4 linked regions of the Oryzias latipes genome follow. Each later gene encodes a partner of the first gene's protein in a complex. Links are inferred from orthologs where the notes say so. Each region holds a gene or a part of one and is shown on either strand. Other genes may lie near its edges.

The links. Proteins that work in one complex are often made in the same cells at the same time.
Region 2: tmem67 (region 1) and tmem231 share a complex: the UniProt entries of both Homo sapiens proteins name them as parts of the tectonic-like complex. The link is inferred for Oryzias latipes from reciprocal best matches to the Homo sapiens genes TMEM67 and TMEM231.
Region 3: tmem67 (region 1) and transmembrane protein 216 share a complex: the UniProt entries of both Homo sapiens proteins name them as parts of the tectonic-like complex. The link is inferred for Oryzias latipes from reciprocal best matches to the Homo sapiens genes TMEM67 and TMEM216.
Region 4: tmem67 (region 1) and tmem107 share a complex: the UniProt entries of both Homo sapiens proteins name them as parts of the tectonic-like complex. The link is inferred for Oryzias latipes from reciprocal best matches to the Homo sapiens genes TMEM67 and TMEM107.

What each region holds. Positions count from the first base shown.
Region 1 is NC_019874.2:17,682,261-17,689,837, forward strand, and holds the start of tmem67 (meckelin), read left to right. Parts: upstream 1-2,420; 5' UTR 2,421-2,453; coding exon 2,454-2,655; intron 2,656-3,522; coding exon 3,523-3,617; intron 3,618-4,371; coding exon 4,372-4,462; intron 4,463-4,587; coding exon 4,588-4,687; intron 4,688-5,599; coding exon 5,600-5,663; intron 5,664-5,760; coding exon 5,761-5,832; intron 5,833-5,915; coding exon 5,916-5,978; intron 5,979-6,234; coding exon 6,235-6,389; intron 6,390-6,494; coding exon 6,495-6,603; intron 6,604-6,727; coding exon 6,728-6,814; intron 6,815-7,134; coding exon 7,135-7,200; intron 7,201-7,295; coding exon 7,296-7,449; intron 7,450-7,526; coding exon 7,527-7,577. Other genes in the region: uncharacterized protein LOC101168649, read left to right, coding at 219-262. UniProt on the Homo sapiens protein: Required for ciliary structure and function. Part of the tectonic-like complex which is required for tissue-specific ciliogenesis and may regulate ciliary membrane composition.
Region 2 is NC_019864.2:27,555,535-27,563,199, forward strand, and holds the start of tmem231 (transmembrane protein 231), read left to right. Parts: upstream 1-2,945; 5' UTR 2,946-3,224; coding exon 3,225-3,363; intron 3,364-5,055; coding exon 5,056-5,222; intron 5,223-7,665. Other genes in the region: gamma-aminobutyric acid receptor-associated protein-like 2, read right to left, coding at 1,491-1,546, 2,296-2,329. UniProt on the Homo sapiens protein: Transmembrane component of the tectonic-like complex, a complex localized at the transition zone of primary cilia and acting as a barrier that prevents diffusion of transmembrane proteins between the cilia and plasma membranes.
Region 3 is NC_019868.2:30,551,249-30,558,719, forward strand, and holds transmembrane protein 216, read right to left. Parts: upstream 4,721-7,471; 5' UTR 4,171-4,720; exon of another isoform or gene 4,048-4,170; 5' UTR 3,973-4,047; coding exon 3,963-3,972; intron 3,665-3,962; coding exon 3,651-3,664; exon of another isoform or gene 3,580-3,650; coding exon 3,486-3,579; intron 3,462-3,485; exon of another isoform or gene 3,381-3,461; coding exon of another isoform or gene 3,341-3,380; coding exon 3,248-3,340; intron 2,465-3,247; coding exon 2,263-2,464; intron 2,197-2,262; coding exon 2,181-2,196; 3' UTR 2,061-2,180; downstream 1-2,060. Other genes in the region: transmembrane emp24 domain-containing protein 9, read left to right, coding at 4,956-5,088, 5,604-5,704, 5,907-6,032, 6,109-6,255, 6,380-6,529. UniProt on the Homo sapiens protein: Part of the tectonic-like complex which is required for tissue-specific ciliogenesis and may regulate ciliary membrane composition.
Region 4 is NC_019874.2:18,548,071-18,555,595, forward strand, and holds tmem107 (transmembrane protein 107), read left to right. Parts: upstream 1-3,035; 5' UTR 3,036-3,342; coding exon 3,343-3,429; intron 3,430-3,759; coding exon 3,760-3,827; intron 3,828-3,908; coding exon 3,909-4,009; intron 4,010-4,250; coding exon of another isoform or gene 4,251-4,347; intron 4,348-4,423; coding exon 4,424-4,520; intron 4,521-4,683; coding exon 4,684-4,753; 3' UTR 4,754-5,105; downstream 5,106-7,525. Other genes in the region: tripartite motif-containing protein 46, read right to left, coding at 47-245, 1,021-1,171, 1,516-1,774, 2,485-2,544; krtcap2 (keratinocyte-associated protein 2), read left to right, coding at 5,966-5,969, 6,499-6,653, 6,841-6,904, 7,099-7,165, 7,287-7,407. UniProt on the Homo sapiens protein: Plays a role in cilia formation and embryonic patterning. Requires for normal Sonic hedgehog (Shh) signaling in the neural tube and acts in combination with GLI2 and GLI3 to pattern ventral and intermediate neuronal cell types.

The DNA.
Region 1 (7,577 bases):
GTACAAGAACCCAAATTTACTTGTCAAAATCAAAGCCTGATTGATTTACACCTGGTTTTTATAGAATATTTACATTTTATTTGTTCCACACAAGGCATTTGTCACATAAGAAATACAAAACCAGGTAGAAAGAAATCACTGTTTAGGGGAATATCATTAAACTTTTAAGAGTGAAAATGCATTTGAGATTTTGTAATGTTTCTGATGTCTTGTTGCAGGTCCATCCAGATATTCTGATGGTCCTCCAAGATTCTACAAATGAGCAAAAGATGGCATCCTGGTTTCTTCATGTCACTTCTACCCACAATCAAAGACTTCTGGGATGATTTTTCTACTATATACATTTTGTTTTTGTTAGGCTCTTTTTGTTGCTTTTTAACGTTTTTCCATCCAAGGGGCAAACCAGATTATTTTTAGGAGCTACTTATCCCTGATGTGACTTTCTGAGTTGAACTTTTGAATATTTAGCAATTGTTTTATTCAATAAAGTCAAATAACACTTTCAAAAATGAAATTTTTTATAAGGCTCAACTTAAAAAAGGGGATAAAAACAGCACACCCTTCTTCATCAAGGTAAGGCTAGGTGCGGTGGAGAAGATCTGGGACAGCATCCTCCACTCCCACCCTCACCCTATACGCAAATTGCATGTTGCACCTGTTGCTTTAGCAACTGCAGCACTAACCTCTCCAGTTTCTATTTTGTGAGAGGCCAATGCAATTGGTATGTAGTCCTTATATACCCCTAGGCTGCTTGGCCTTGGGCAGAGGAATGACGCACGAGGTCTTCCAGAGTGTTGGTATTATACCAAGGTGCACGCTCAGGTTAAAGAGGTGCTGGAGGGGACCTCCTAGCTCATCTGCATATGTCTTCAGGAGCCTGGGCTACACCCCATCTGGGCTTGCTGCTTTCCTGGTCTTAGGTTTCTTCAGCTCTCGTCTTACCTGATGTTCAGTAAAAGGACTATAATGAGGGAGAGCTGAGGCCAACAGTGCAGGTTCATTTGTAGAATGAGGAGGAAATAAGAGGAAACAAGGTGAGGTAGATGATGCTTGTATCTGTTTTGATCAAAATCACAGCTTCCATTTTGCCTTTTGTTGAGGAAATGTAGTTATCAAATATATAATTTTTGAATAAAACACAGGTTTGTATAAAATATGCTGCAAAAAAAGTAAGTCACACAGTCAACCAAAGTTAGCTGGGTGATAATACACTTGAAGCCCCTGCAACTGCTTTGAAGTCTGACATAAACAATAAATCACACTAATAAGCTGCACATATTGGGGCATGATGTGGTTGTACTTGAAATGGACGAGTACTGGTGATGAACTTAAATTGATCTTAGGTCACACTAAACCTGGTTGAAGTAAAAGTGAAAGATTTCCTGTATACATCTATGATATTTAGATTTAAAATTGGCTATCTGTTTTAAATGTGCTAATAAATCTTCTAAAACCTGAATCAATGTTACATTTCTATATTAAATGCTAAACCTTACAAAATAAAATTAATGCACAAAGATTTTCACAGCATGGAGACTGACAAAAAAACATCAGGTCCAAGCTGAAGTTTTTTTTTTCATTGATTGCATCTTCAGGAAGGAGCTTGATAGACCTTCACAATAACCTTGATAAAAAAATAATATTGCAAAATAATTTAGTCTGAGGCTAAGATGATATGTCTGGGTGGATGGTTTGAGGAGGCAGATGTCGTCTGCAAAGCAAAGTGTTTCTGGGTCATAAATTGACTTCTTTGTGACCCAAAGACGGACCAGCTGAAATGAGTGACAGAAAAAGAAAAGTTAGATTTTAATCCACAATAGCCTCTGGTCTTTGAAAAAGAAAGCTTTAAACTTTCAATTAAAATTGTTTCACTACGAGGTCAAATTGGTAAAGATCATTCTGCTATCTGTACCCCCCCCCCCCCCAGCTCAACTCAAAGTCTCTGTTGTTTCTGAATGTCTATGTAATCAATAGCAGAACATCAACAAACAAGAAAAAAACTAGAGCTAAAATTAAAATCACTGAGTCGAAAGTCACAAAAATATACTTATTTTTACTTGTGGACAAGGTTAAGTATTATAGTCAAATATACACATACATATATATATTGTTGCTGGAAGAGGCAACATTAATCCTTAGAGCTGCCTATATTTCGTTACAGAGAATCCCATTATTGTTATCCTCTGTTAAGACATCTTTTTAAAAGTATGAATGAAAACCATTATTATTTGATTTAGTCTATGAATCTTTGAGATTCTTCAAAGAACTTCAAAGAGTTTAAGAGTTGTCTTTTTTTATTCTTTCACAACATTAGTGATTTATTTATTTATCCTCACGGTGTCTCCAAGATGTTCTCTCCCCAAAAGAACATTTTAAACTTTTTTTTAAGTTGGAACGCCCTACGTCATGACGTGTTGCAAAGGATTGTGGGTAAAAAGGAGGACATTTTTACCATGGCGACGGGGACGCCGCTTGTTCTTGACAGGCAGATGTTTTGTTTTACATTGTTTTATGTGATTCATACGCACCTTTTCCATTGCCAGCAGTTTCTTATCCCCTTTAAAGATCCTTCCGGATGTGGTGTGAACGAATTTTTCGACATCTCGAGTTTGTCGTGTGCCAAATGCGGCGCAAATCAACGCAAGAGTTCTTCAGGTGGGTATCGATCACCACGCGATAAAGCTACATGATACAGTGTACACACTGTAAACATACCAACATTAGTGTATATATCTAAAAATAAAAACAGATAATTACATTCAAACGAGTTAAGCTCCAGCTGTTGAACAACCTCGAAGAAGTAAAAGCCAATTTGGTTCTAATTGTTTTCTGTTGCTAGCAGTTAAGATAGCCTTTACTTTACTGTATCATGTACATAAAGAAATTATTCTTAAAGAAAGTTTTTGTTAATCCAAATAATGTTTTAATATGTACACACTAATATATTATAGACTATTTAAGATTATTTAAAGTTTAAAACCTTAACCTTTAAGAACATGTTATAGCATGTGGTCTAAAAATCATATTTTTAGAAGTTTAATTGAATTACCATAAATATTCCCTAACTTGTATAGGAAAAATGGCATAAAGCTAAACAAGCAAACTCTGTTCAGCTTTAATGTTCAGAACAAGCTAGTCTCATTTCATTTTTCATGAAACAGGAAAGCTAATCATTTTTATTCTAAACTGATAAATGTTTCAAACTAGTTTAAATAAATGTACACTGACTGTTCTTATATGGACCTGCTTTGAGAGGCCATATAGGATTGCACTATTAATGTATGATTTGTTTAAACATACTGTTGTATCTAGAGAGACGGTGTGAATCTGAATTGACCCTCATCAAAACATCAACCAGCCTCTCTGGGTTTCTTTCTTTTTAAATTTAAATTCAAAATGCACAATATAGTTGTTGCAAGGATTTTTAAAATAAGATTTTTATTTAACTAAATATTAGTATTTCCTTTCACCATTGAAAACAATATTATTCTAAACTATAAAGAAATGTCTTGTCTTATATAGGTCTGAGCTGCATTTGTCAAACGGGTTACAAGACCAAACATTTTAGCAGCAACAAAGTCCCGTTTACATGTGAACAGTGTCCCCCAGACAAGCCTGTAAGTATAGCTTTCTTTCATAATGAATGTTCTGATTCATGTTTTTTAAAACTACTTCACAATTGAATCACTTAGTTCAAAAGGGGCCCAAGTCCACAATTTTTCAAAATAGAGACATTATATGTTCTATGGTCTTCAAGGGAAAAGCTATCTGATTATGTGCAAAAAGTCCCAAGTCCGTTGTAATGTACTGTCTATACTTGACATTTAAAATGCATTAAGTGCAAAATTCCTGAACTTGGGCCTTTCTTGCATGGGTTTTGCTTTATCCCATAGATGGCAGCACTAATTATCCAATATGGCAGCGCCCCTGTCAATGCAAGGGTGGGGTCATCTAAGATAGCACAAGGGTTAACCCTTGTACTATCTTAGATGGACACCAGTGAGGTTCAAAAATAATTGAAGAGAAAAGGTTCAGCGCACTGACTAGTGGGTCTAGATGACCCAACTCCTTAGGATAAAATGCCTAGGATAGCACAAGGGTTAATTCAAGAAGGGCCCAAGTCCAGAGACTTTAGTTTGCTAGTCCTCTGAAATTATAAAAGTGAGCTGCTTCATATTATAGCATTTGTAAGCTATGAACTGGTGCTAAATCTGGGTAAAGTATTAATCATTTAGTGTAGCCCCCCTTTAAGCTATGCAATTAAAATCATTTCCTGGATTAACAAACCTCTTGGACTTGGACCCCTTTTGAACTAACCGATTCAATTGATATAAATAAAAGTGCTTATTGGTGTCCTGTCCTTTATTATAGGCAGTAACGAAAGACGGCTTTGGTTGTATTCGCTGCCCCGGCAGACTTGATGATAATGGCAACTGCCAGTGCCCATCTGGAAATATCCTAGGTGAGTTACCAGTACAATGAGAGGTTTACAACCCAACAAAAAGGGTTTTCCCTAAAAGCTGTAAATAAGGGTAATTGTAAGTTTTTTGGTAGAAAACTTTTATAAATTTTTCTTCTTTTTCTCAGTTGAAAGAGACATTAATGGCACATTTTTTGATGAGGCCAGTTGTGAAGCATGCATTGGAGACAGCCCTGCCTTCACTGCACCAAACAGTAATGGGGACAGGTAATTATATACAGTACAGACTTAATATTCATGAGAATTTCATTTAACATATTTTACTTAATAGAAAACTCTAGTTTTCTGAGAGGAGGTGCTTTGTGCTACATTTGCACTGTTAAATAAAAATATTTAGGGATTTACAAAGCGGAGCGATTTTCATTATATTGCATAGTGGGTCATCTTTACTTTAGTGGAAATGAAAAATAAAAGTCAATAAAAAAGTGATTTTTTTTTTGTTTTGTTTTAGTATAGGGCAAAACAAATTTGACAATTTCTTATATTCTTGTTGTATCTACAAATATCTATGAAATCTTTTTTAAACTTTTGCTCCGATTTTCATTATTCAAACAAATATAAAAATAGTTAAACATGTATGATTTGTTGTATTTCCTCATATCTTTATCTCTGAGTGTTAATATTTACTTTTGTGTTATAAAATTGTGTTGTGTCATTGAAAAGTGTAAATGGGTAGTTTCAGCAGGAATGTTCAAACTTTGAGTTTGCCCAGAAGTTGTTCTGGACAAATCTCAAACGTTTATATACTGTATGTATTAATTTTGTGGTTTTTAAAACAGTGACATTATCACCATAAAATGCTTCAAATAGCAAAAATATTATGAGAAGACAATGTGTTACAGGGTAAATAGCTTAATATCCAGTAGTTGTTTATTGTTTTGTTTTTTGAATTTCTTTACTGGTTTCTGCTTTTTTCTTCTTGATTTCCACGTGTTTCTAATGAGCACGAGCTACATTTTCTTATGCTATAACAATTTTCTCTTTTTATGCCATATTGGACCATCATACCTGCTCTCCATTACTACTGTAGAACTGTTGGTTGAGTTGATGCAGTTAGAGAAAAAGTTACCGGTAATCGTTTTTTTTATGAACAATACAATATCAAAAATTATCTTTCAGATGTGAGCGATGCCAGGCTACCTTCTCTAATACCTTCTGTACGTGTCAATCCCCAAATGTCCAGGTGAGTTTGGTCATCTACTACCCGCACATTCCCTAAATCCACAGAAATCTGTTGCAGTCACAAAATCACAAATGATTGTGAATGTAATTTTTTGCAGGCTGGAGGTTTATGTTTTCCTCCAGGCAGCTTCTCCACTAATGTGAATCCAAGTGTCAGCTATGCTCAGTTGGTAAGTCAAAGTGTAATTCTCTTCCTAGAAAATAATACTTGTATGTTTTTCCTGCTTGTGATTTTCTTTCATTTTCTTCACAGGCGTTTAGCATCCAGTCTGCCTGGTTTGTGGAAAACCTCTATTCTTCTGCAGCAGCTTGCCTTGTAATTTCACAGCCTTTACAAAACTTCTTTTTCTTAGAAAAATTATGACTTAACATGTTTGTTTTTCTTGAAGTCAATTTCCTTCCTAAATTTGGACAAACAGCTTTAAATGTTCCCATAAACAATCGTTAGAATTCTTACCGAAATTATTTTTAGAATGTACTGTAACAGATTTAAACATACGTTTTTCACCAAATTAATTTTGTAGTTAGAGTTTTATTAAAAGAAAATCATATTTTTGTTTTTTTCCCCACAGGTCTTCAGCAACTTGACAGCGTGTCAGGCTCTCGGAAACATGTGTGTTATGAACATGCACTCCTTCACTGGACTTTCCACAGATGCTTGTGGTCTCTTTAACACCATCTCTAGGTCAAAGGCTGCTCTGAGCTCTGTTCAAGACATTTCTTACTGGTATTCACGTTTGATTTGGATTTTCCTTTTTTACATTGTTCATGCAGCAATTACCTTACATTAAAAAAAACAGACACTAAACAGATATGATACTCTTGTCGGCAGGAGGGCCAACCTGCCTTGGCTTTACTATGGAGATGAGCCGGGCCTGGCGGGCCAAGTGCTCCAAAATAAACCTGTTCCCTTGTCTTTCAGTTTCAGAGGAACAAAAAAGGTTAGCGATTCTTTTTTTTTTTACAAGTCTTTTCAAAGATTCTGATAAGCTAACACAAATATCCCCATTTGTTTTGAATACTAAGAAATGCACATTTTAATTCAAAGTGGTATGTTTTTGTCAGAACACTGACATCCAGCTGCTTGCTGCTGTCTACAATGTCAGAGGAGACTTTCTCAGATGGGATCCCATTGGAGGAAACAACCTGCAGGTAAGAGCTTCAAAAAAAAAAGTATTTGAAGTATCTGAAGTATTTGATTTGGACTCAGGAAAATAAGTATTCTAGATCTGAGATGGACATGATCAGATCAGATTTACCGTAAACTAAATCACTGACATATTTATGTGGCTTATTGTTAAACTCTAAAGTTCATTAAATAAATCAAAGATTATTTTGTAAGTTAAATTTATCTATGTTGAATATGTTTGTTTACATTTATAAATACATTTTTTTGTTGCTGTTTTACCCACTTAATGAAACATTTCTTGTCCATTTAGCATAGAGAGTTGACAAACTGTCTTGTTTCTTAGCTTTGTCCAGAACAAGCCTTCAAGCAGGCAGCAGCCTTCAGCTTTGGGACCACTTATCAGGAAACTGTGAGTGTCAGACCCCTTTTGCTTAAAAGTCTACAAACTGGTATTGTCCAGTCATATAATTGTGTTATTAATTTGTTTTTACTCTGTGTGTAAAGTGCGAGCTTTCAGTAGCAGAACTTCTCACTACACATCCCGAGCCGTTATTCTACGATGTGTTCATGGACCTGGGCGGAGGAGACAACAGAAAACTTCTTCCTCTGCCAACTCTAGTTCAGAATCAGCAGTATAATGGGCAGTTCATCAATCAAGGTGGATTTTTATCTTTGATGTTCACATTTTGTTTATTTTATCTGTGATATCTTATTTAATTTTATTTTTATTTCCAGGGAGCATGCAGAACTGGTATCTGTCTCGACGCATCTTTCTTGTTGATACAT
Region 2 (7,665 bases), on another chromosome or scaffold:
AAGTGGCTGGGATAGGCTCCGGCAACCCCGTGACCCCGAAAGGGAATAAACGGTAAAGAAAATGAATGAATGAATGAAAAACGGATGTGATGGTGTTCGGTCCAAGCAGCTCCTGTGACCCTTCCTCAACGGCTCCACATTTAAAACAATGTATGTCTAACCTGGGATTTAAAACAGAAAAGGACTTTAAACATGTCTGAAATTTAGCTTCTTTTATTTGAGGCAGTTGGTGGGGGTGAAATCATTTTTACCAAAACGTCATATTTTGAGACAGTAATCCGTACTTTCATCACACCTCAGATGAATTACTGTAACTCTCTCTATTTTGGAGTCAGCCCGTCATCCCTCTCGCGTCTCCAACTGGTCCAGAGTTCTGCTGCTCGGGTTCTGGTTCGTGCTGGCTACACTTCACTGGCTGCCTGTGAATTTTAGAGTTCATTTTAATGTTCTTTTATTTGTTTTTAAACGGGGTCCAAGAGGAAACTCAGGGGGGAATAGAGCTTTTTCTGTCTGTGCACCAAAGCTGTGGAACGCTTTACCACTGAGTATTCAGCAGGTATCTTCAATGTCCATTTAAAAAAAAGTTTTAAAACCCATTTTTATCACCAGGCCTTTGACACGGCATGAGACTCTGCTCTGCTGGTAAGTTTTACTGCTTTATTGTTTTGCTTTGCTTTTGTTTGATTATTTTACAATTTTAAATCACTTTAATTGTTTTAGCCTTTTAGCTGTTGTTTTTTTTTTCTTTTGAGCTTTTAATGTACGGCGCCTTGTTTGACTGCAGTCATTTTAAGGCTCCATGAAATCGATGAAACTATACTGGTTTCACTTTGTTTTTTATTCATTCATTTAAATTTTGTCTGTACATTTCTGGTCTTTGCTAAAAAAATTCATACACAAACATTTGATTTGACTCCAATTGTTGTGATTCTAGCAGGATAAAAAGACCTCCTCAAAGGTGGAATTTCTTTTGGTTTTTAGTTTTTTGTGGAAAAAGAGACTGGAGTTTGAACTAAAAATAGACATGAAAAATAGTTTGAGGTACATTTTTTAGAACAAGCTGTAAATAAATTAGTAAAAAGGCTCAACATGGCCTCGGACTGCGAAGGGTTAAGACACTTTCTAAAAGTAAAGAACATTTGAGGGTTTCCAGGTCTGTTCTGGTCTAAAAGCGCCTCCTGGTCTCCAGGAGGAGCTGGAGAAAGGCATGCTGGCTCTTCACATCAGTGAAATATGAGAGGTGATGGAAAATGGAGGTCATGTTATCCACAAACAAGAGCAAGTGGGTACATAAATGTGAAAGCTCTTTTGTGTTCATCGGTCATCTTTGTAATTTGAGAAAAAGAGGAATGACGTTGCACTCAGAAGATGCCTGACTTATCATACATAAGCATCCAGGCTGGTTGGATGTCAGAGATTTCGGTATTGATTCCCTCTGATCATCTCTGCATTTCCATTTCCGATAAAAGCACCCAGCCCCCACAACTCACCGGTACTCTGTCCGGGTATTTGTTGCGTATTTTGGCTGACTCCACACATCGGTGCTCTGAGGAAAGAGACAGCAAACAAACAGGAAGTCAGAGATTAAAGGGATCAGTGCGTCCTCTGGGGATTTCCTGTCTTCAGCCTTGAACAAGCACAACACAAGATGGGGGAAGTGTATGTTTCCCACTCATGATCCTCTGTTTCAGAGGAATAGTACAACATCTTCATGCAAATTCATTTCAGACACATGGATGTGCAGGGAGGATGGGAGGAGTGAGTGAGTGAGGGGAGGACTCCATCTAGGTTCATTAGCCCAGATAAAAGTTCTATCTTCAGAGGTGCTTCTTTAAAAAAAAAAGAGTCCTCAAGGTTATCCAATTACCATGAGAATGACAAGACAAAACTTCACAGAAGGATCTTATATAACACAAACTAGGCCTAATAGAAAAAAACAGTAAAAATAGATTAAAAAAAAGGTTGTTTTTTTTTAATCCACCATACTTTTTTAAGTAATGCATGCAAAATATTGAAATTAAAGCAATACTAGATGATGATGCAATGCTTTAAATGGCGTTTCTCTTGAGGTGATCCTAAACAACCTGCAGCAAATGCGTGTTAGCATGATCATGCCAAGCTAAGCAGGATCGATTTCCGGCAGGCTCCTGCGAAAACCCCGCGTTAGTGTGTCTGTGATGGGTGGTGGAGCCACATCGAAGGACACACAGTCCGCGGAGCAAAAAGGAAAAACACGCGACATGAAAAGAGGACATCTCTCTCTGGTTTCATAACAACAACCCAAACCCTTTTTACCGAGGGAATGGTCCTCTTTAAACATCCATTTCATCTTTGCTGGATTCCCGCACTGATGCGTGACGGCAGGGGCGAAAGGCGGGCTTCACGATCAGCTAACCCTGTTGGGGGTTCAAACTTGCAGAAATCCTGCCCAAAGCGACCAAAACAAAACGTCAACAAAGAGCTTCTGTTGCTCAGCTGTCCGTCTCGCGGAGAGGTGACGTCACCGTCTGGCTGTTGGTGCTCCTGGTGCGTTCAAGTGCGCCCAGCAGTGCTCGGTCCAAAAAAATCCTTGTAGTTGGGGCTGTTGACAGACACGCATTAATATCTAGTTTCTACATTAATATCCTTCTAGTTTAATGAAAACAACACCAAAGAAATACAAAATTAATACAGTCAGACTGAATAAACAATGAAACAAAAATGATACATTGAAATGCCTTAGAACGGTCATGGGCATTTATTATTAGAAACACAATTGTATAAAAAATTTTAATGCTTTTATTTGAGCTTTTATTTAAAATTAATAGTTCCCATAACAACGTAAAAAGATAATAATATATGGGAATTTTCCAGGCATGAAATGAAATAACTACTTTTGTGCTTTTACTTAATTTCAGGACCACAGAAGAGTTTCAGCATTCCCCACAGTTCATGAATGCATCCTGAACCATGGTAGCCATGGAAACCGAGGGACGCTGCAGAAATATGGCGGGGGGCTCGTTTCCTTACATGTTGCAGGGGCTAGCAAAATAGCATTTCAACGCGAAAAGTTATCAGAAAAATATGAATTTACTGGCGTTTAGAATCCAGAGGAAGATTTTTTGGAGTTTCTTAACGACCAGTTTAGGTAGTATCGACATTTTTACGCCGGTAATCATTTAGTCCGCTACTAGGTTAGCATCTCCAGCTGTAGCCTTACAGCTAGCTGTCTTTACACCGAACGTATGGCTTTCTACGAAGTGTACTCTCATCCGGCTGTAATTCGGTACAAAACCAGTGTTTGCACAAAGGCTACGCTGTTCCTGGTTGTTGTTTTGTGCCTAACCTACATCCCACCTCTGCTTGTTGCTTATAGGAGTCAAGGTACAGTATATATATCGAGGCTTTAAAGTGTCCATTTATTTCATTTTGAACAAAAGAATATATTATGTTTTTGTTAAAGTCTTTGTTTATGCTAGAATATAAAAAAAGGATTTTTATTATCTATATTACTTTACACGTTACAAAGCCTATGAGTAAAGCCAGGGCCTTTTAAATAAAGTTTTATTAGTCCAGTAAAAATAACAAATTAATAACATTTCAGCAATATTTCATTCCATTTTTACTCAGATTTATTTGATTTAGACAACAACTATTCTCTTTGAATGCATATGAATAAGCTTTTATATTAAATAACCCAAGTTTTTACAACTTTTGCTTTAAGTCTAGATATGAGTTGTTTTCAAAATGACTAAATCCATTTGTGTCTGTTGAAAGATTAGCCTTAAATCTGTTGGATGTGTTTTGATTTGATTGATGGATTTCATGCAGCTTTCAGCTCTAAAATAAAACAAAATATATACATATATATATGTGTGTATGTATATATAGTATCATTTTAAAATATTAGTTCCTAAACTGGTTTGAGAAAAATAAAATGACAGAAAATGTTTTTATACACTTGACATTACAATGTATCATAAATAGGTATATCTACACCTATTCATACAGTACACACGTGTGCAATACATTGAATCCATAAAATATTATGTTTTTTAAATAGAGTTTGATTAATTGGGTGGGAAAGAAGTGAATTTATAATCCCACACCTATTAAATTTTACCAAACTTTTTTTTTTTTGACATGTTTACAATTTTCTTCCAAATAGGTGGCCGAGCCTTTTCAGTGAATGGGGATCGCTGCAGTGGGATCTTCTGGGTCTGGTTCTTGCATCTGGGGAGTCCTGTAGTGTATTCTGTGAACTTGGGTGGGGCTCACTTGTGAGGACGGTTTATAATTTCCCCACAAAGCCGGATTTCTACTTTCTACTTTGCATCATTTTAGTGAATCATTTGATGCACTACTATAGTGTGCGTGCATGTGTGCGTGCATGTGTGTGTGCGGCGGGGGGCATTTTATGCATTGTATACATATTTTTTGTCTTGCTTTTGGTTTTTTAAAATTGGATTATGTTTTTATGTAAAACACTTTAAGTAACTCAAGTTGGAAAAACTGCTCTATAAATAAAGTTTTATTTGATTTGAATGTTTCAAATCCATTACAGGAACAGAATTTACGTTGTGTTATTTTCATGCTGGCTTTCATTGCACATTAGTGCCTTTGCTTGTAATACAACAGTAACCCATATTACCATTCAAAAATGCCCTTATTAATGCTGTGGAACAAATGTGACAAAAATGCTGCTATTTTGAACTGAATTATTCGAACATATTTGGTAAATGATGAATTATGCTTTTAAAACGTCTTCTGTAATTTTTAAAAATGGGTTCAAATGTAAAAAATGCCATGGAAAAGTCAGAAAAGTTGTTGAATTCTGGGTACATCAGATGGACATGTTTTCTGCATGACAAACCTTGTCAAGAAGCAAATTCCATTCCAAAAAAAAAAAATGAAGCAAATTCTATAGGAGATTGTGGGAAGTTTGGCTGAAGGATTCTAATAGAAATCTTATGCTATTTTATGTTTGGTTTTTGGTTTGATGGTAACATAGAATTAGAAGAAATCTCAACGTCAAAAAGTTCCTAAAACCTTATAGTTTTGTTTTTTCAATTTCAGGTTTCTGGTTAAAGCGAAGCACGTATGAAGAACAGCCGGTTGTGAGGTTTCAGTACCAGACTCTGATGGTTGCAGCCACCGGCACTCAAGGGGACTATGTGGCCTGGAGTACCTTCCCACACCTCAACAACATGCTGGGGCCCAACCTGCGGATCCCTGCCGTCTCTGTGAGAACACATTTGTGTATCACTGATATGTGTGACACTTTTTCAAGTCTTAAGAACCACATTCCTATGTCATTGTGTAAGCTGCATTTCAAAGCATTGCTCCTGTTGCCATGGCAATCTTTCATTGATTAGCCCTGATGAAAAGCTGGTCCATGCTTTTTGTTTCTATACTTTAAACCAAAACCTTAATGTGTCTAAAATATTTCTTTAAGACAAATATCTATTACCAGAAAAGTATGTTGCTGTGCGTTTACACACAAACCCATTTACCTAAAAATGATCAGAGTACAGACAAAGAGAAAGTACTTCTGTAGATCCACACACAGTTTTTGAAGAAAATATGACCAATAAGGTGTTAACACTGTGAGAAACGAGTTTTTTTTTTAAACTCAAGTCCACTTAGAATACTTACTGGCCCGCTGGGATCTTTGGCCCTTTTGAAATATAAGGTTTGTTCTTAAATCACATCACATTTTTGCTATACAGGCAAGCGTTTCAACCAAATGAACCCAGAAAGTTGTTGCTGCTTCACAGATTTTATTCTCACCTCATTTTCTCAATAATCGTGTTTACCATAAAAAAATGGATTCTATATAACCGTTAGAAACTAAAAAGGCTAAATGATCCGCATGGGTGCTTCTCCAAAGACGAACCACTAACCCTTAATTTAGAGGAAAGTGAATGAATGAAAAAAAACAATCCAACCTGTCTTTAACTGTCTCTCACAAGCTCCATTCTACATGTTATTCAGAAATTCTAGAAATGTCAAGGCGTGGAAATGTTCTAGCAGTTACAATCACTGCCTGAGGATGGAACTGTCAGAGGATCACAATGTACAGCAAACGTATTTACCCCCTCGGAAGTTTGTCACTTTTGTTTCCTTGATAAATTACTCACAGTCAATTAAATAACTAGAACAACACCCTTCAATGTCAATGTGAAAGCAGATTCCTACACAGTAATGTCATGGAAGTAAAAATATGAAAGTGTTGATCAACAGTAAAGGGCATAACTGTTGTAAGACTAGAAGGAATATCAAAGAAAACTTTGGAAAAGCATGCTAACAAATATTTAAAATAAGTTAGTTAAGTCTTGTTGGCCAACACAAAGGTTAAGATTTATAATGGTGTTTGCCGAGATTGTAGACATTTGTGAGCGAGACATTTATTTGGGTTATGTTTAACACACAAACTTAAAACATCAACACAAGTATTGACAATTAACAATGTCAGCATAAACATTGAACAAAATTAACCGAAAAAGGTGTCGAGTGAAGCCAAGGCTTATTTCCCGACCCTGATTACAAACGTCACATCTACCTACAAATTGATAGAACCTTGAAAAAAAAAAAAAGAAAAAAGAGGAAGAAAAAACGCTTCTTAAAATTACTTCACAACCACAAAAGTCTCTCACTACAGAAGGAATTTTGATATATTTTAAATGTATACATTATTTTAAACTAATATATGGAGTTTGTGTTCTTCAGATCGTCGGATAATAAATTCCACATGTTGACCCACTGAACAAAAATACTATTCTTTATTGCATAAGTTCTGACCACTTTGTTTTTAAACATATCTTTACCCCGAAAATCATAATTATTAACTTTAATTTCAAACAAACTCAGTATTTTGGCAGGCACACATTGTTTTTCAACTTTAAACATAAAAATTCCGATGCTAAGATCAAGTAAATCCAAAAATTTAAGTGCCCTTAATTTTGGAAATATTTGTTTTTTGTGGATTGATTGTATGAAGAGTGATTTAAGTGCTCAATAATCGTGTTTACCATAAAGAAATGGATTCTATATAACCATTAGAAACTAAAAAGGCTAAATGATCTGCATGGGTGCTTCTCCAAAGACAAACCACTAACCCTTAATTTAGAGGAAAGTCCATGCATGGAGCATCAGCAGACTGCACACGTCTCTCCTTTCTACGCATCAGCTTTTAAGAGAGTTTAGCCTAAAAGTGAATTAAAAAAAAACAATCCAACCTGTCTTTAACTGTCTCTCACAAGCTCCATTCTACATGTTATTCAGAAATTCTAGAAATGTCATGGCGTTGAAATGTTCTAGCAGTTACATTCACTGCCTGAGGATGGAACTGTCAGAGGATCACAATGTACAGCAAACGTATTTACCCCCTTGGAAGTTTGTCACTTTTGTTGCCTTGATAAGTTACTCACAGTCAATTGCAATTCTAACTGTTTTTTTTTTGCAGAATAAAAATAGGTTTTGTATTTGACTTGTAACTGTGCCCCCAGATTTCTACACAATAGAGTCAAATAAGGCATTTTGAGGGAACAATATAGAATATACAATGTAGCTGTGTTTAAAAAATACTTGACTTTATGTAAAATGGCTAATGATTTGGACAATTTAGAGAGAACATGTGTTATGTGTGGTTTCCATGATAATTTATGATTCAATATTACTCCAAGA
Region 3 (7,471 bases), on another chromosome or scaffold:
CCGACACGCTCCGACGAGGGCACTTTCTACATTCCATCATCCACTCCAGCAGAACACAAACACTCACCTGAGCACAGGTGTCAGCTCACCTTTGCACTAATAGCATCATGACTGAATGAAATGCTTTCCCTGTGTTGGTTTGTGTGCATGTGTGTGTGTGAACTGTAGTTGGGTTGTGTACATGTTTGTATGTGAAGACATTTGGAGCCAACAGGTATGTTTGAAACATAGACAGGCCCCGCCCCTTTTACACAGAAAGGCGTGTGAGAGGAGCTGAGTGAGTTCAGCACTGTAGAAAAACCAACGTCTGCCATAAGCAGGAACCCAGCAGAACCAGAACTTTGCTGAACATGAACTCCTGAGGAAGAGTCGGTCCAGATGTTTCTGCTCCTCCACCGAAGTTTCACTTTTTTTTTGGGAACCCTGTGATTTTCTGGGTGATTGATCAAAGCTAGGTTTTCTTCTGTGAGGTCACTCTGCTTTAATCGTTTCTGTCCTTCCGTCTCCTGAGCTCGTTTGTCTGAACAGCTGTTTAGTTCCAGTGAAAGAATCAGAGATGAGAACAGAGAGGATGGGTCTCCATGCCTGACTGCTGACTCTGGAGGAGGAGGAGGAGCTGGTTATTGTGATGAAGAACCAGCTCCTCAAACCAAAGTTCTCCTGTTTTCAGATGACTCTTAAATGAACTTTGAGAAAAAGTTTGGTTCCAGGGTCCCACAGACAGATGCTGGAGTCTTGCCGCTCCTCTGCTAAAGAAGACGTTTCCATGGCGACGGCTGCAGTCATGCTGCTCTGTTTCCTGAGTGTGGCAGAACGGCCCGGCTCGGTAATGAAACCTCCCAGCTTTCTGACCCGGAGCCACGAGGACGCGTGCCGATACGCCGAGCTCTTTAATACCAGCCTCAGCCAATCAGACGCCGACAAGCAGAACAAATGCCCCGCAACGGCGCCTGGGTCAGGAAGAATCCAGCTTCCCTGATCCTCTTTGCAGCGCCGCCGCTCACATTTCTCCTGTTCACCTTCTGTTAAATTAGTCATCTGAGATTAGAGACGGCTTAAGGAGGAAAGTTTTCCTTCAGAAGTTGATAAAGCTCAGAAACGTCACGTTTGCTGAACTTTTGCAAAAACACGGCTCTTCAGAGGCCCGGAGGTTTCTCTGACCTTTGAAGACAAAGAACTTTCTGGACTCGCTGACTTGGTTCTTCTCATCCATCCAGGTGACACGGTCTTCAGGTGGAACCGCAGCATCTGGACTCAGAATCCTCTGTAAAGACTTCATTTAGTGGGAAAGCAGCTGATGGTGAAACAGGTTTGAAGTTTTCTTTTTGCAGTGTAACAGAGACTCGTCTGCGTTTCTGCGCAGATGGACACGTCTGCGTTTCTGCGCAGCTGGATCCATCTACGTTTCTGGACCCGTCTGCGTTTCTGCGCAGATGAACCCGTCTGCGTTTCTGTGCAGCTAGACCCGTCTGCGTTTCTGCACAAATGGACCGGTCTGCGTTTCTGCGCAGCTGGACCTGTCTGCGTTTCTGCGCAGCTGGACCCATCTACATTTCTGGACCCGTCTGCGTTTCTGCGCAGATGGACCCGTCTGCGTTTCTGCGCAGCTGGACCCATCTACGTTTCTGCGCAGATGAACCCGTCTGCGTTTCTGCGCAGCTAGACCCGTCTGCGTTTCTGCGCAAATGGACCGGTCTGCGTTTCTGCGCAGCTGGACCCGTCTGCGTTTCTGCGCAGCTGGACCCATCTACATTTCTGGACCCGTCTGCGTTTCTGCGCAGATGGACCCGTCTGCGTTTCTGCGCAGATGGACCCATCTGCGTTTCTGCGCAGATTGACTCGTCTGCGTTTCTGCGCAGATGGACCCGTCTGCGTTTCTGCGCAGATGTTTCTGCGCACTGACAGCTGAGGGACGGCCTCGTGATTCCTAAGAAAAGAGGACGGACAGCCTTCATGCAAACACAGATCAAAGGTTTTCCAGCTGAAACTCAGACCTGTGGAGGTTCTAGTGGCCCGTGGCCGGCTTCATCTGATTTTGGTGACACACAGAACTCACAAAGCTGCAGAAAAATGTTTATTTACAAAAATCCCTGAAGAATCACAGAAACTTGTGTCAGCGGCACATATGCTAACAACTGTCCTGGTGTCCCTCTGGGCTCCAGAGAACCGCTCTTCTGTCCTCAGTACACCTTGGACCTGCACAAGAACATCGAGGGTCAAAGACTTCCCGGCTCTCAGAACCGGCCTGCGGGCTCAGGGTACCTGGAGAAGGAAGATAAGGCGATGAATCCCAGCAGGAACTCCAGGCCGTAGAAGCAGAGCAGGACGGCGCAGAGCAGGAACTCCAGCCGCAGAACGAAGGTCTGCAGCAGCAGGTAGTAGACGGCGAGCGCCGCACAAGAGACCAGGATGAAGAGCGACAGGCAGGAGGTCAGGGAGCGCTCACACAGGTTCCCCTTCCAGCCTGAATCGACACAGGGGGACAGCGTCAGCGCCTGCAGCCGGCCTTGAGAACCAGCACAGAGCCTGAGCGGCTGAACGCTTCGCCGCAGGTTTGAGTCTGATGTTTCCAGGCAGCAAACGTCTGCAGAGATGCTTTAACCCCTTCATGCCCACTGGTGCAAGGAAGAACCACTCCTCCTCAAACCGACTTTCATTTAGCCTCAACTTGAAAGCAAAAACACAACTGATCATTTTTTCATAGCTGGATATAAATTCTGGCGTGGGGGGGGGGGGGGGGGGTCATGTCACTTCCACAGACAGAACCCTGGAACCCAGGAGGAGAACCCTCCACCTCCGTCTGGGAGGCCGTCCAGGTGAAGAGTGAGAACGCTCTCTCCTCATTGGACCACCGCTCAGACGGGCGTGGAGAGGTTCTGCACCGAAGGTTCCGCTTCAACAGAACCTTCAGAGGCGGAGCTCCGAACACAACGATGAAGGTCACACATTCACACACGGAACCAAGCTTCTTCCTGCTTTGATCTCCAGCATCATCATCGTTTACACATCCCAGCATGCCTTTCATGCTCTGAAGTCCTTTTTAAATCTGAAAACCACATTCTTGGTCTTTCTGACACTTCCATGCTAGCATAGAACCGTGATTGTTCTGACGTTAGCTCATCCAGCACCAATGTCAGGCCCGTCTGCATCCTCTTCATCCTGCATGTTCCATCTTTGTTCTCCAGAACCTCTCAGCCGCACTTGCGGTTCTGGAGAAAGCAAAGCAGATGTTTGTGTTTGGCGTCACCGTAAAAGATGCGCAGAGCCTCCAGAGCGAGGAAGAGGAGCAGCAGGACCACATCCAGGACCAGATTGTCAGACGGGTACGGCAGCAGGATCCCTGCAGCGACACCAGCAGCAACCGTCAGACGCTCCTCCATGACGTCCAGCAGAGGAACAGAGGACAGGCTGGAGGTTCTACGACACCTTCGGCTTCATTCTCAGGTGAAGCCGTGGTGAACCTGCAGGGGGGCGGGGCCACACACCTTTGTAGATGAACATGAGGATCTCCGCCAGGTAGAAAGCGGCAAAGTACCAGCTGTTCAGGTAGAGCAGCACCTGCAGAGGCGTGGAGGACAGCTGAGGAGGCGTGGTCAAGGACAACTGCGGCTGGTGGACAGGCCCCGCCCCCTCTGACAGCAGAAGGATACGATTGGTCGGCTCCCTGCAGACGCGGTGAGACAAAAATGTTGTCAAACTGAGAGTGAAACTGAACGTGAGGCTTAAGAAGCGTTTAGGAGACGTGACGGTTGTTGGACCGGATTATCTTTAGCTTTAGACGGTGGTTTAAGAACGTTTCAGAGGTAAACACCGAGTGGGAATGTTTTTAGCCGCTAACCGGAAATCAACGGCGGACCGGAAGTGTTTCCGTCCGTCTCTGATAGCTGCAGAAAAATGACGGGGAAAGACGGCCTGCGGTTTTTGCGCCGTTCTTTCTGCGACGATGATAAGAAAACACTCACCAGGCGCCATGTTTGAGCCGCTGTGGTCGCTATGGAAACGGCTCTTCTTCCCTGGACAGCGTCAGGCGGGGCTCCGTGCTGCCCCCTGCTGGTCAGGATGAGCAAACAGAAGACACTAATATTTGAAACAATTTCACATTATTTTATTAATGGATGTTCTTCAGTTTCACCACTGAATCACTCTAAATACATAATTAGTCGATGTTACCTTTTATCATCAATGGTCTGAAATCACGTGACATGCGGGTTTCTGTTGCTGTTTCCTGTTGGACCCTCAGAGACCTCATTTAAAGAAAATAACTGTTCTTTCTGCGACATCAACATAGAAACACTTGATCATCTGTTTATTAAATGTATAAATACTAACAGGTTTTGGGAGGATTTCTTTTGGTGGTTCTCTTCAAATTTTCTTATTTCTATTTGGTTACAAAACACATTGTATTACACATTGTATTATTTGGAGTCGTTTCTGGTGATAACTTATTTAGTTTGGCATTTAATACTTTATTAATTTTTGGGAAATTTTTCATCTATAAAAGGCAGATTTTTACAAATCAAATCATTATTCAATACATTTCATAAAGAGATCTGTTTATATTTTAAATGCAATAAAACTGTCAATTTTCATTGAAGATCACATGTTAAATGACAATCCCTAGTTCTCTGAACTACGGTTCTAATGTTATTTATTTATTTGTCTTGTATCTTACTCTTTTTTTCTTTTGTTATGTCTTTCTATTGTAGTTACATGAATGTGTAATCCTTTGAAGTTGAATTAAAAAACCCACAGTGACTCCAGGAGGAGGAGGAACCTTCACAATCTGGTTCTGATGTCATCCGCTCTGCCCAGCACACAACTACAATACCCAGCTTGCCATCGCAGCGCTCTGATTGGTCGAAGGCGCGCCAGGGTTTACGTGGCACTGCTGCGGACGCGCAGACTCCGTCTGAGCTCGGTGGTTCCGGCTGGAAGACGGTTCGGTCCGGATCAGCATGCAGCCGTGCGTGTTGGCGCTCCTGCTGCTCGCGCTCTTCTGCAGCCGCGCGCCCGCGCTCTACTTCCACATCGGAGAGCTCGAGAAGAAATGTTTCATCGAGGAGATCCCGGACGAGACCATGATCATCGGTGAGCGGCTAAGCTAGCTGCCGCGCGGCTAACGCTCACAAAGTTCCGGTTCGCCGTCAAAAAGTTTCCCAACGCCGCCAGAAGTAGTTAGTGAACCGTTTGATGAACGGAGACGTTGGCGAACACCTCGTAGTAGAAGTTGGTGAGGATGTAGGATCGGTCTTTTACCGGGGAACGGAGGACGGTTTAAGCTAACTTCATCCTATCAGCACGCGGATAACAAACCAAACCGCCTGAAGAATCCAGCCCGTTCCCCGAACCTAGACCAGGAACCCAAGCGGTTCTCCTGGAGAATGGGCAGGCAGCTCCTCCAGGAGGAACCAGCAGGTGGAGGTCCGGACCAGAGTTGATGATGGTTCGTTCTGAAGGAGCTGTCTGGGACCGGTCGCTCCCTGAGGTTCCTGCAGAACCGGGAAAGCGGGTCCAACGGTCCTGACCAGCGCGTCCAAGGACCGGAAGTGCTGCGTTCAGCCGGATGTTGTCACTGACTGTGGGGCGCTTGTGTTTGTGTGCAGGAAACTACCGCACGCAGCTGTACGACAAGCAGAAGGAGGAGTACCTGCCGGCCAGCCCGGGTCTGGGCATGTTTGTGGAGGTCAAGGATCCTGACGAGAAGGTAAGCGCCGGAGGAGGTCCTCCTGACACGTTAGTGCCGTGATGCTCACTTTGAGGAAGGTCTCTTCGTTAGATGGTCTCTGTAACCACGGCAACCGCGTCCTGACCTCCGTAAACATCCAGAGGAGGACTTGGAGCTGCTGCTGTTAGTCTTCTGTGGAGGTTTTGGTGGAGTGGACTCTAAGCTCCTCCCTCGCCTGCAGGTGATCCTGTCTCGGCAGTACGGCTCGGAGGGACGCTTCACCTTCACGTCGCACACGCCCGGAGAGCACCAGATCTGCCTGCACTCCAACTCCTCCAAGTTCTCCCTGTTTGTGGGAGGAACGCTGGTGAGGAGGCGGTCGGCGTAAGCTCCGCCCCTTTACCTTCACACCCACGGCTTTAACCGCCGTCTGTTTGCCGCAGAGAGTTCACCTGGACATCCAGGTGGGCGAACACGCAAACAACTACGCCGAGATCGCCGCCAAGGACAAGCTGACGGAGCTGCAGCTGAGGGTCCGGCAGCTGGTGGAGCAGGTGGACCAGATCCAGAAGGAGCAGAACTACCAGAGGGTGAGTGAAGCCCAGCAGAGCAGAACCCGCAGGAAGCAGATGCTCCGTCTGAGTCCAGACATCTGATTTGAGGTTTCACAGCAGAACTCCAGCTGAGCGCCCCCTGCTGTCCGTTTGCTTTCAGTACCGCGAGGAGCGTTTCCGCCAGACCAGCGAGAGCACCAACCAGCGCGTCCTGTGGTGGTCCATCGTCCAGACCCTCATCCTGGTGGCCATCGGCATCTGGCAGATGAGACACCTGAAGAGCTTCTTTGAGGCCAAGAAGCTGGTCTAGGTCTGGAGGGGGCGGGGTCAGACGCTCTGCAGAAAGTCTGTCCTCCTGTCTGAAGAGCCTCTGCTTGGTCCAGCAGGGTCCTGCCAGTTTGTTACTGAGCACGCGAGATTTCCCAGGAAGTGAAGCGACGGCGGCTTTACTGGAAGCACAAAAACTGTTCCTCTGCAGACATCACAGCTTTGATTTCTGCAGAAGAAAACCTTCATTTGGTGAATCTTTTTGGGTTTTGGACTTTGGTTTCTATTTGTGAGAGGATGGATTAAAGTTGATTTCTATCAAACGAAGCTGTTCAATGCTGTTATTCCAGGTTCACATGAACTTGAAGATCCGCCGCCCGCCGTGGTCGGTGGAGGTTTTGTTGCTGTTTGTGTGAAGGCTGCACGCCACATTGCTCTGAACACGCTCCCAATAAAGGTTTGGGTGTTTTGAATGTTGCTGAAGTCGGTCTCCACTTTGATCTGAAGTGACAGCAGCACCAGAGGGACCGACGGCAAACCCGCCTTGGTCCTGAGGCGGGTCCAAATCAAAGACAGAAACCTTCACTTCTGAGAAAAGGGGATGAAAACGTTTCACATCATTTCCACAGCAAGAAGGCCCCCGGTTCAAGTCCGGCTGGGGGGACGTGAGAAACGACATGAATGGGGACCTTTCTGTGTGGAGTTTGTATGTTCTCCTTGTGCATGCGTGGGTCCAAAAACATGCTGCATAGGTTGAATGGTAACTCTAAATTGTCCCTAGGAGAGTGAATGGATGTGTGATTGTGGACATTCTACCCTTCAACAGACTGGCGACCTGTCCAGGGCGTCCCCTGCCTTCGTCCACATGTGGTCGGGATAGGCTCCAGCAGCCCCGTGACCCCGAAAGGGAAAAACGGAATAGAAAATGGATGAATGTCTGTGTCGACTCTGAATGTTTCTACTTTCTGTGATTCCATTAAATGTT
Region 4 (7,525 bases), about 870 kb from region 1:
GAGGCACAAGCCGTGGCGAAAACTGGCCTAAAAAAATAAGTCAAACCTTTGGTCTGAAGTTGTTGGTGGGTAGAATGTGTTCGTGCTGAGCGCGAGGGGTTCCCCATGGATGATAGAGTTTGAAACATTCATTGCAAAAGTTGGATTTGCAGTCAGCACAGCCCTTAGTGGCCTCCAGAGACTGAGGAGGTTTACAGAAGGCACACATGATGGCCACGCTGCCCAGACTTATAGTCTGCCTGTACCTAAAAGAGAAACAGAGATATGAGCGCAGGCCAGAGACAACCCTGCAGGATAGAAAACAGACCAGAAGAGCCCATTTAGGAGGAGTTGCAGTTGGTACCTAAGTAAAGCATCTTTTAAACGCATGACCTAGATTATAGGTCATGCATTTAAAATATGCTTTACTGCTGATTTATCTAGGTCCTAGATGAATCACCAGCAGCTGCCTTGTTGGAGCATCCCGCACAACATGCAGCGTCACGCTTTCTTGACTAGCACAACTGCTGCCTAAGGAGGGAGCAGCTGCACCCATCAGCGTGCCTCTTGTAAATCTGCCAACCCTCAAAACACCAAACCAAGGCCTATTTTTAAAAAGCAGCTCAATGCATTTTAATCTTATCAGATTATATTGTTTTGGGAAAGCTGCAAAAGTTTCATTTTAAACTTGTTCACATATCTTTCAAAGAAAATAACGTGTAAAAAAGCTTCTTTTTCTTCCCCCTGGCATTCTCCCTCAGTACACTGCAGTTTTTAAGCTGTCCTTGCAAACCGCTCTTTGGCTTAGCCTTTCATCCCGAGTGAGGATGGGATTCATTAAGCAAATGACTTCCTGTCTCATACATAAAGCAGCATTGACGTAACTCTTCACTCAATGTCTTAGTTTAATGCTTTAGGATTTTGCGTTTCAGAAAGTCAAAGATAAGCCGCAAGGCCTAAAAATATCTCTCGAACTGAAGTAAGGAGTTTGCAGTAAAAGTACATTCTAATTTCATCCTCTTTTTCTTTCTGCACGCTAACCTTTCCACAATGCGCTCCAGAGTGAGGTTACGGAAGCAGTCTGACAGGCCTCTCTGCCCGAGCTCCACTTCCTGCTGACAGGAAGGACAGGGGAAGATCATGGGGGGAAGAGTTGTGTCCTTCCGTCGCCGCCCTGGGTATGTGCTGCACACTGAGAGCAGAATGAAGGTGTAAATTGGCAATTGGTGAAAAGAGATACACAGAGGAAAACAGGAGTCATACATTATAAAATATGACTGTAGGAATTTTAAATACAGGTCTTTACATTGATGCTCACCACCTCCATGAGCTAAACACATTCATTTGAAGACCTACAGCCAGACACTGATGTGTCAGTTGATGATGATGCTGCACCACATCGGCGGCTCCATATTTTTACATAACAGTATAGTCATTTGAGTGCTGAGGCCATCTGTTTCTTTTCTCAGATGTGAGGGGGAAAAAAGCTCCTGAAAGGCATCCTAACCTGAGTCATGTTGAATCCACTTCCCTCACCTGTTCTGAGGACCCGCTCCAAGCGGTCAGGAGTCCTGGGTGTGGGTCTGTGAGTTTGGCGTGGGGACCGAGTGTTCGGCGAGGAGGCTGGTGATCTGGGTTCCGGAGGGAGGTCTGGAGGAGGGTAGCCTCTTTGTACCAACACCTCGGCCGCGCACAGCAAACACACACTGTGCTGGCATGGCAGGAGGACGGGCTGCTTCACGATCTCGTCACACACCGGGCACAGCAGCTCCTTTTCCATCATCTTCATGTTGGACTGGAGAAGAGGGAAGAGGAAAGTTCAAGAAGACAACAGAGCTGCGACTTGATTTAAAGAAAGGAAATGATGGCAGTGATGAAGGAAATATCTAGATGAACTCTGGTTGTGTGCCGTTTATTGCACAGGACAAGAAGGAAAGAAGAACGTAACCTCCATGATGCTTAGCAGTCCTCCTGTGATTGCTTCACTGCTTCCTATTTCTAAGAGTAAATTGGCTGAGACATTATTTTTAATAAAAAAAAACAATTCAAACAATGCAGAAACATTCTGTTTGCCATTGATTGTTGCTTCTTTTTTTTTTAGGTTGTGGTGGCCCCTTTCCATTACTGCAGCCACAAGGCGCGGCATCCGGTTTCTATGACAACGCACATCTTCCTCTGGCCCTGATTTTATGCTATTTGGCAACATTCTTAGGTTCTTATATCTATTAAAAATGAATTATGTGGTCGTTGCGACTGTATATTTTCTATTGCCATTCACCACCTGACTGTGGCTTTCAGCCTATTCCGGGTTATTAAAGCGATGACAAAACATGTTTGTAAACGGTAGAAAAATGCTCCGCATTCTTATTTCATAGCCATGATTGTCCAGATCAACATACTATCAATAAAGCAAGTTATATGTAAGACTACATTATTGTTTTTCCTCTCTTAGATGTAGCACGTTTGAAATGGCTATATTAGAATAAACCGGCGTCGCACACTTACACTGATACGAACCAGCGCGTCCATGACAGAGGTAAAGGTTTGGAAGTCCTCTTCTGCCATGCTCTGTTGTTCTGATGTGCACGCTTCCAAAGAAAAAATGTTTCGTTTAAAACGATTATTAAGTGGGTGTGAAAAATAATCCCCGGCTGTTTTGTAGCAAACACTAGGCCCTGACGTGCACAGATAGCTGTGCTTGAGGTGTGCTGCTCAATCTCTGTCGTCTATCCAAATGCGAATGGAATGGTTGCTGAAACTGGTGGAGGGGGGTGGGGGCGTTTTGCCCCAAAATGTTAGCTTTATCGGGGAGCGTTTAAAAAACATTCTTTTAGAAAATAAAAACAAAAAAAAATCGGCTTTTCTACGTTCTTTAGATACGCGAGGCTATGTTCATCCTACAATCACACGTTAACTTTGTCATGTTTTATTTTTGTGTGTGTGTTGTCGTTAGATGCTAGTGTTGTGTGCTGCTTAACAACAAAGGCGATGGGTCGCATCCACTTCCCTTTTGTGTCCGGAACGTTTGGAAGGTGGATGTTTTTACGGGTCGCAATATTGGATGCACCCAGCCACTGGCTGTTGTAGCAACCCAATGCGACACCGGGGTGTGTTAAATTTCTATGTATAATTTTGTTTAGAAAAAAGACTATTAAAGAGTAAAATTTTAATTTTATAAGTTCATTGGCTTTAAAAATGCTTGATTATCATTTTTGGATTATTTATTGAACCGCGGTTGCGTTGATATACCGCGAACCAGGAGCGACGACTGTTGTGTGAGATCTGTGAACTCCAACGTGACCGTTTGGCTTTAAAATTTAGAATTTTCTAGCATTTCTGACACTTCTGTGAACCAGAAACAACATGTCTTCTATTAGCAGTCTAATTCCTGCGCGGTTTCTCACCATCATAGCTCACCTTGTCATCGTCATCACAATCTTTTGGTCCAGGGTAAGTAAGGACAGTCCGTGTTGTTGTTAAAGCTTGAAGGACGACTCAAGCTGCCATAGAAATATTTTTTATTATTATTATTAATATTATTATTGTTTTTTGTAAATATCAATAACGTGTAGTTTGTGATTTTAAAATAAAGAACAAAAGTTTTTAAAAAAATCGTGAAATAGAAATAAATTCTACTCCACAAAATATTTTTCCTAAACTGCAGAAATATAGATTTTTGTTTGCTGCAAAAAGTTTATTTCTCCTTTTTTTTATAAACAATTTTTTATCTAGAAATGTTACCATAATCGGCTATTTTATGTATTTGTTTCTGTTTTCTAGGAGAATAATGTGAAGGCATGTTTGCCTTTGGAGTTTACTCAGGAGCAGTATGACACAGAAGACAGAAAGTAAGTAACAAATGATTGAAAATATATGAAAAAATCTTGAATGCTCACATTCTAACCCGCATCCCTTTGGTTATTGTTCAGGTTGGTTGTAGCCTTGTCAGCCACTCTTGGTCTGTTTGCTATCGAGCTAGCAGGCTTCTTTTCAGGAGTCTCCATGTTCAGTTCCAGCCAGGGTCTTCTGTGTATCCTTTATACTGACAGTGATGATTCATATTTGTCATGGTCATTGATACTGAACTATTGATTCACAATTGTGAGGAAAATAAAGATTTTCAGATATTGTCTTTTCTCCAGCAGCTCTAGCTTCTAAATGAGCATCTGGTTTATAGCAGAAAACATGATTTACAAGAATAAATGAATGGATTAAACAATGCTTATTAGTCATTAGTTACAATTCCGTAACTAAGAACTTGTCTGCTATAGCAACAGGAGTCCATGCCAGTGCCTCTGTGGCTTTGCTCTTTTTTCTGTTTGAGCAGTGGGAGTGTGACATCTACTGGTGGATCTTTGCTATTTGCAGGTTAGTCTTTTGACGCCTAGCAAATCCGTTTTATCCTTTTTTCCCCAAAGTTTTCCCTGACAGCTGCTCCTTTCAGCATTAGCTGTCCACTGCTCCGCATCCGTATCTTTGTCTTTCTTTGTGTTTGAACAATGGGAATGCTGGACTTACTGGGTGATTTTTGCCACCTGCAGGTTGGTTCGCCTGCATGCTTGTTTTCAATGAATAGTTGGCTTTTAGAAAGACAGCATACTGTAACAGTCACTCTTATTTTGAAGGAATTTGAATGCATTTAAGGATTGTTCTTTTATCTTTCTGGATTTCTATTAATTTCTTTTTCTATTTCTCATCTTTCAGTGTCTTGCCAGCTTTTGTGGAGATTCTTCTGTTTATTGCGGTTTTTGGACTGAAGAAGAAGCCGTTATGAAGAGGAGTTGATTCAGATTGAATGGATGAACGCTTCCATTTGTTGCTACAAGACAGTAGCTGCAGAAATTCAGTTATTAGATCACCTTAAAAAGGGGCCAACATTGTTAGAATTTCTTCAGCAGGCATCAATAGATCCAGAAAGAATGTTTTTTTTTTCAATCTTTGTAAATATATTTTGAACTATGTAATTACAAAAAATAATTATACTATGTTGTTTGTTTTGAATAAGTTGGAGAGTTAGCAAAAGTTTAAAATGTAAACCAAGTTTTTTGTTGTCAGTAGTGTATTTGTTTCTCATGTAAAGCTTTTCAACGCTAAATCCAAAATACATTTATACTTTTTTAAATAAGTCTTATTTCTCTCATTGTATCTATCTTTATCCTCATTTGGTGACTTAATTGTCAGAGAAATATTAACCAAACTGAGCCAGAAGATAAATTAAAGTCGGGCGACAAGAGTATCCAGAACCGCAAGGTTACAAAACATGAAACAGTAACTTCATTTTTGTGCAGCTATCAAAAAAAAGAAACAGTATTTAAAATTGATTTAGGGAGGAAAAATCCTTTCCTAAATTATTAATGTAGTGAGACATGTTGTAATATAGAAGAATTATGTCTATGAAGACTCTCTTTCATCCAGGTTGATTCCATCATAGTAGTAAGTTTAGGGGCTGTCCTCTTAGTTTTTAAAGTTAGAAAACGTTTCACCTCTTATCCAAAAGACTTTGTCAATTTTGTAATATAGGCTAAAAAAGAAAGGTTTTTTGACGTAATGATCCCTCCCTTCTGCTTTTCTGCATGCAGCTGCGGACAAACCATTGCAGTTGTGATAAACAGAATCAGGCCCTGCATTTGGTTCTGGAAAACACAAACTGAAATGGCCAAAGTATCAAATCCCTTTAATTCTGTAAATCTTTTGTGTAATTAAAAACCTGAACTCACAAGTAGTTTTATGTTGTAAACAATTAAAAATGACTCCAGTCAATGGTTGAGCTTTATGTCTTTCCATAAACACTTTCGTTAATTTAATTTTTTTTAAAGAAAGTATTTTTCTAAATGCATAGGTCCCACCCTCTGGTCCTTCCGGAAAACCTGTCCGGGTAGTCAAATAGTTCTGTTCCTAGTGCAGTACCGGATCCTTGCATGTCTTTAGAGAGTTTGCGTATTCTCTCCCGTTTTTCATCGAAAGAATAACATTTTAGCAGCAGCTAATGGGTTTGTACATTTAAGTTTTATACCAGAGAAACATTCTCTTTTACCACGCTTCTAAATATGTTTTTTTTTAATGTTCGTGTGTTGTGTACTGTCTTGTTGTTCTGTTGAGGCAGCTAGCTTTATGTGAACTATGATGGAAAATAGTTTTGCCATCAAATAGGTCGTGTACGGGCTTTTTATGTGAACAAATGTGTCAGGAATTTTGACTGTATACAATGGAAACGTTTAGATTGTTGCGTATAATTTGGGTGTTTTAGCTTGAAGCTAACAGCTAACTCGGAAACATTTGCGTGTGAACACTGACGTGGCGTAAGGTTTTAGCGTTCCCAAAACCAGAGTTTAATTGAATGACTTTTTAAAGTCAATGTTACAAAATTATCAAATCTGTGAGGTTTGCATAATATTTTCTAAAATTGAGATGTATTCGTCAGTCAGGCGGCTTTTGATTTTAAAATTGCTCTAGATGATATGATCATTCTGGTTTTAGGATACTTTGCCTTGTTTTGACGGCTTTTTTTGGTGATTGCAGCGGTGAACACAGGCACGTCTCTGGTGCTCTCCAGCCTCCTGTCAGTGTTGGTTTTTGCTGGAATGCAGATGTTCAGTAAACAGCTGGCATCCACTGAATGGTTCACCATCCTTGGAGGTTTCTTGGGCTCCGTCCTGTTCATCTGCTCACTCACTGTATCCTTTGAGTAAACTTACACAATTGTTGAGATATGCTTAAAAACAGTTTTCATATAATATTCTCTTTTTTTCCATTGAGTTGTATATGATCTCAGCCTTTTTTCACCAAAAACCTGTTAATTCTTTTTAGAAAGTATCTGAAAATACCATTCTAGACTGTGTTTCTCCTTAATTGTACTTCTAGGCCTTTAATAATCTGGAGAATCTGGTGTTTGGGAAGGGATTCCAGGCCAAGATTTTCCCAGAAAGTAAGTGTTGAAAGGGGGAGAAAGTTGACCTACTTCTCATCCATAGCATTACCGAGTCACATGAACACTAATAGAACAGCAGATCCTTCTGAAATATATCTGGCAGTCTAATTAAGTGTATGTGTAACTTAGCACCTACATTAGCACCTTATGTCAGACTGTACTTTTAACAACTTCATTCTGTCAACTTCCAGTTCTGTTTTGTCTGTGCCTGTCGATGTTCGCTTCCGGCCTGGTGCACCGTGTCTGTGTCACCACTTGGTAAAAGACACACAAAAAAACTCATTTGGCATAATTAAACTCATAAAGTTAAAAGTTTCTTCTTAATTCATCCAACGTTGCATGTTTTCTAAAACTGATTTTTGTTTTTTCCTTTTTCCAGTTTGATATTCTCCCTTTTTGCTCTCTACTACATCAACAAAATATCTGCTGCCCTCTACCAAGCAGTGGCTCCAGCAGTAACACCAGCCAAGCCTGTCAGCAAGGGAAAAAGGAAGAACTGATGCCCTGTTTAGTACAACTAATACCGTTTTCCAGTCACTATGACCCGTTTACTGATGTGTACTGGTAATTCAACAAGTTTAACATTTTTTTTTCCCCACACACCATTTTCTTACCTGA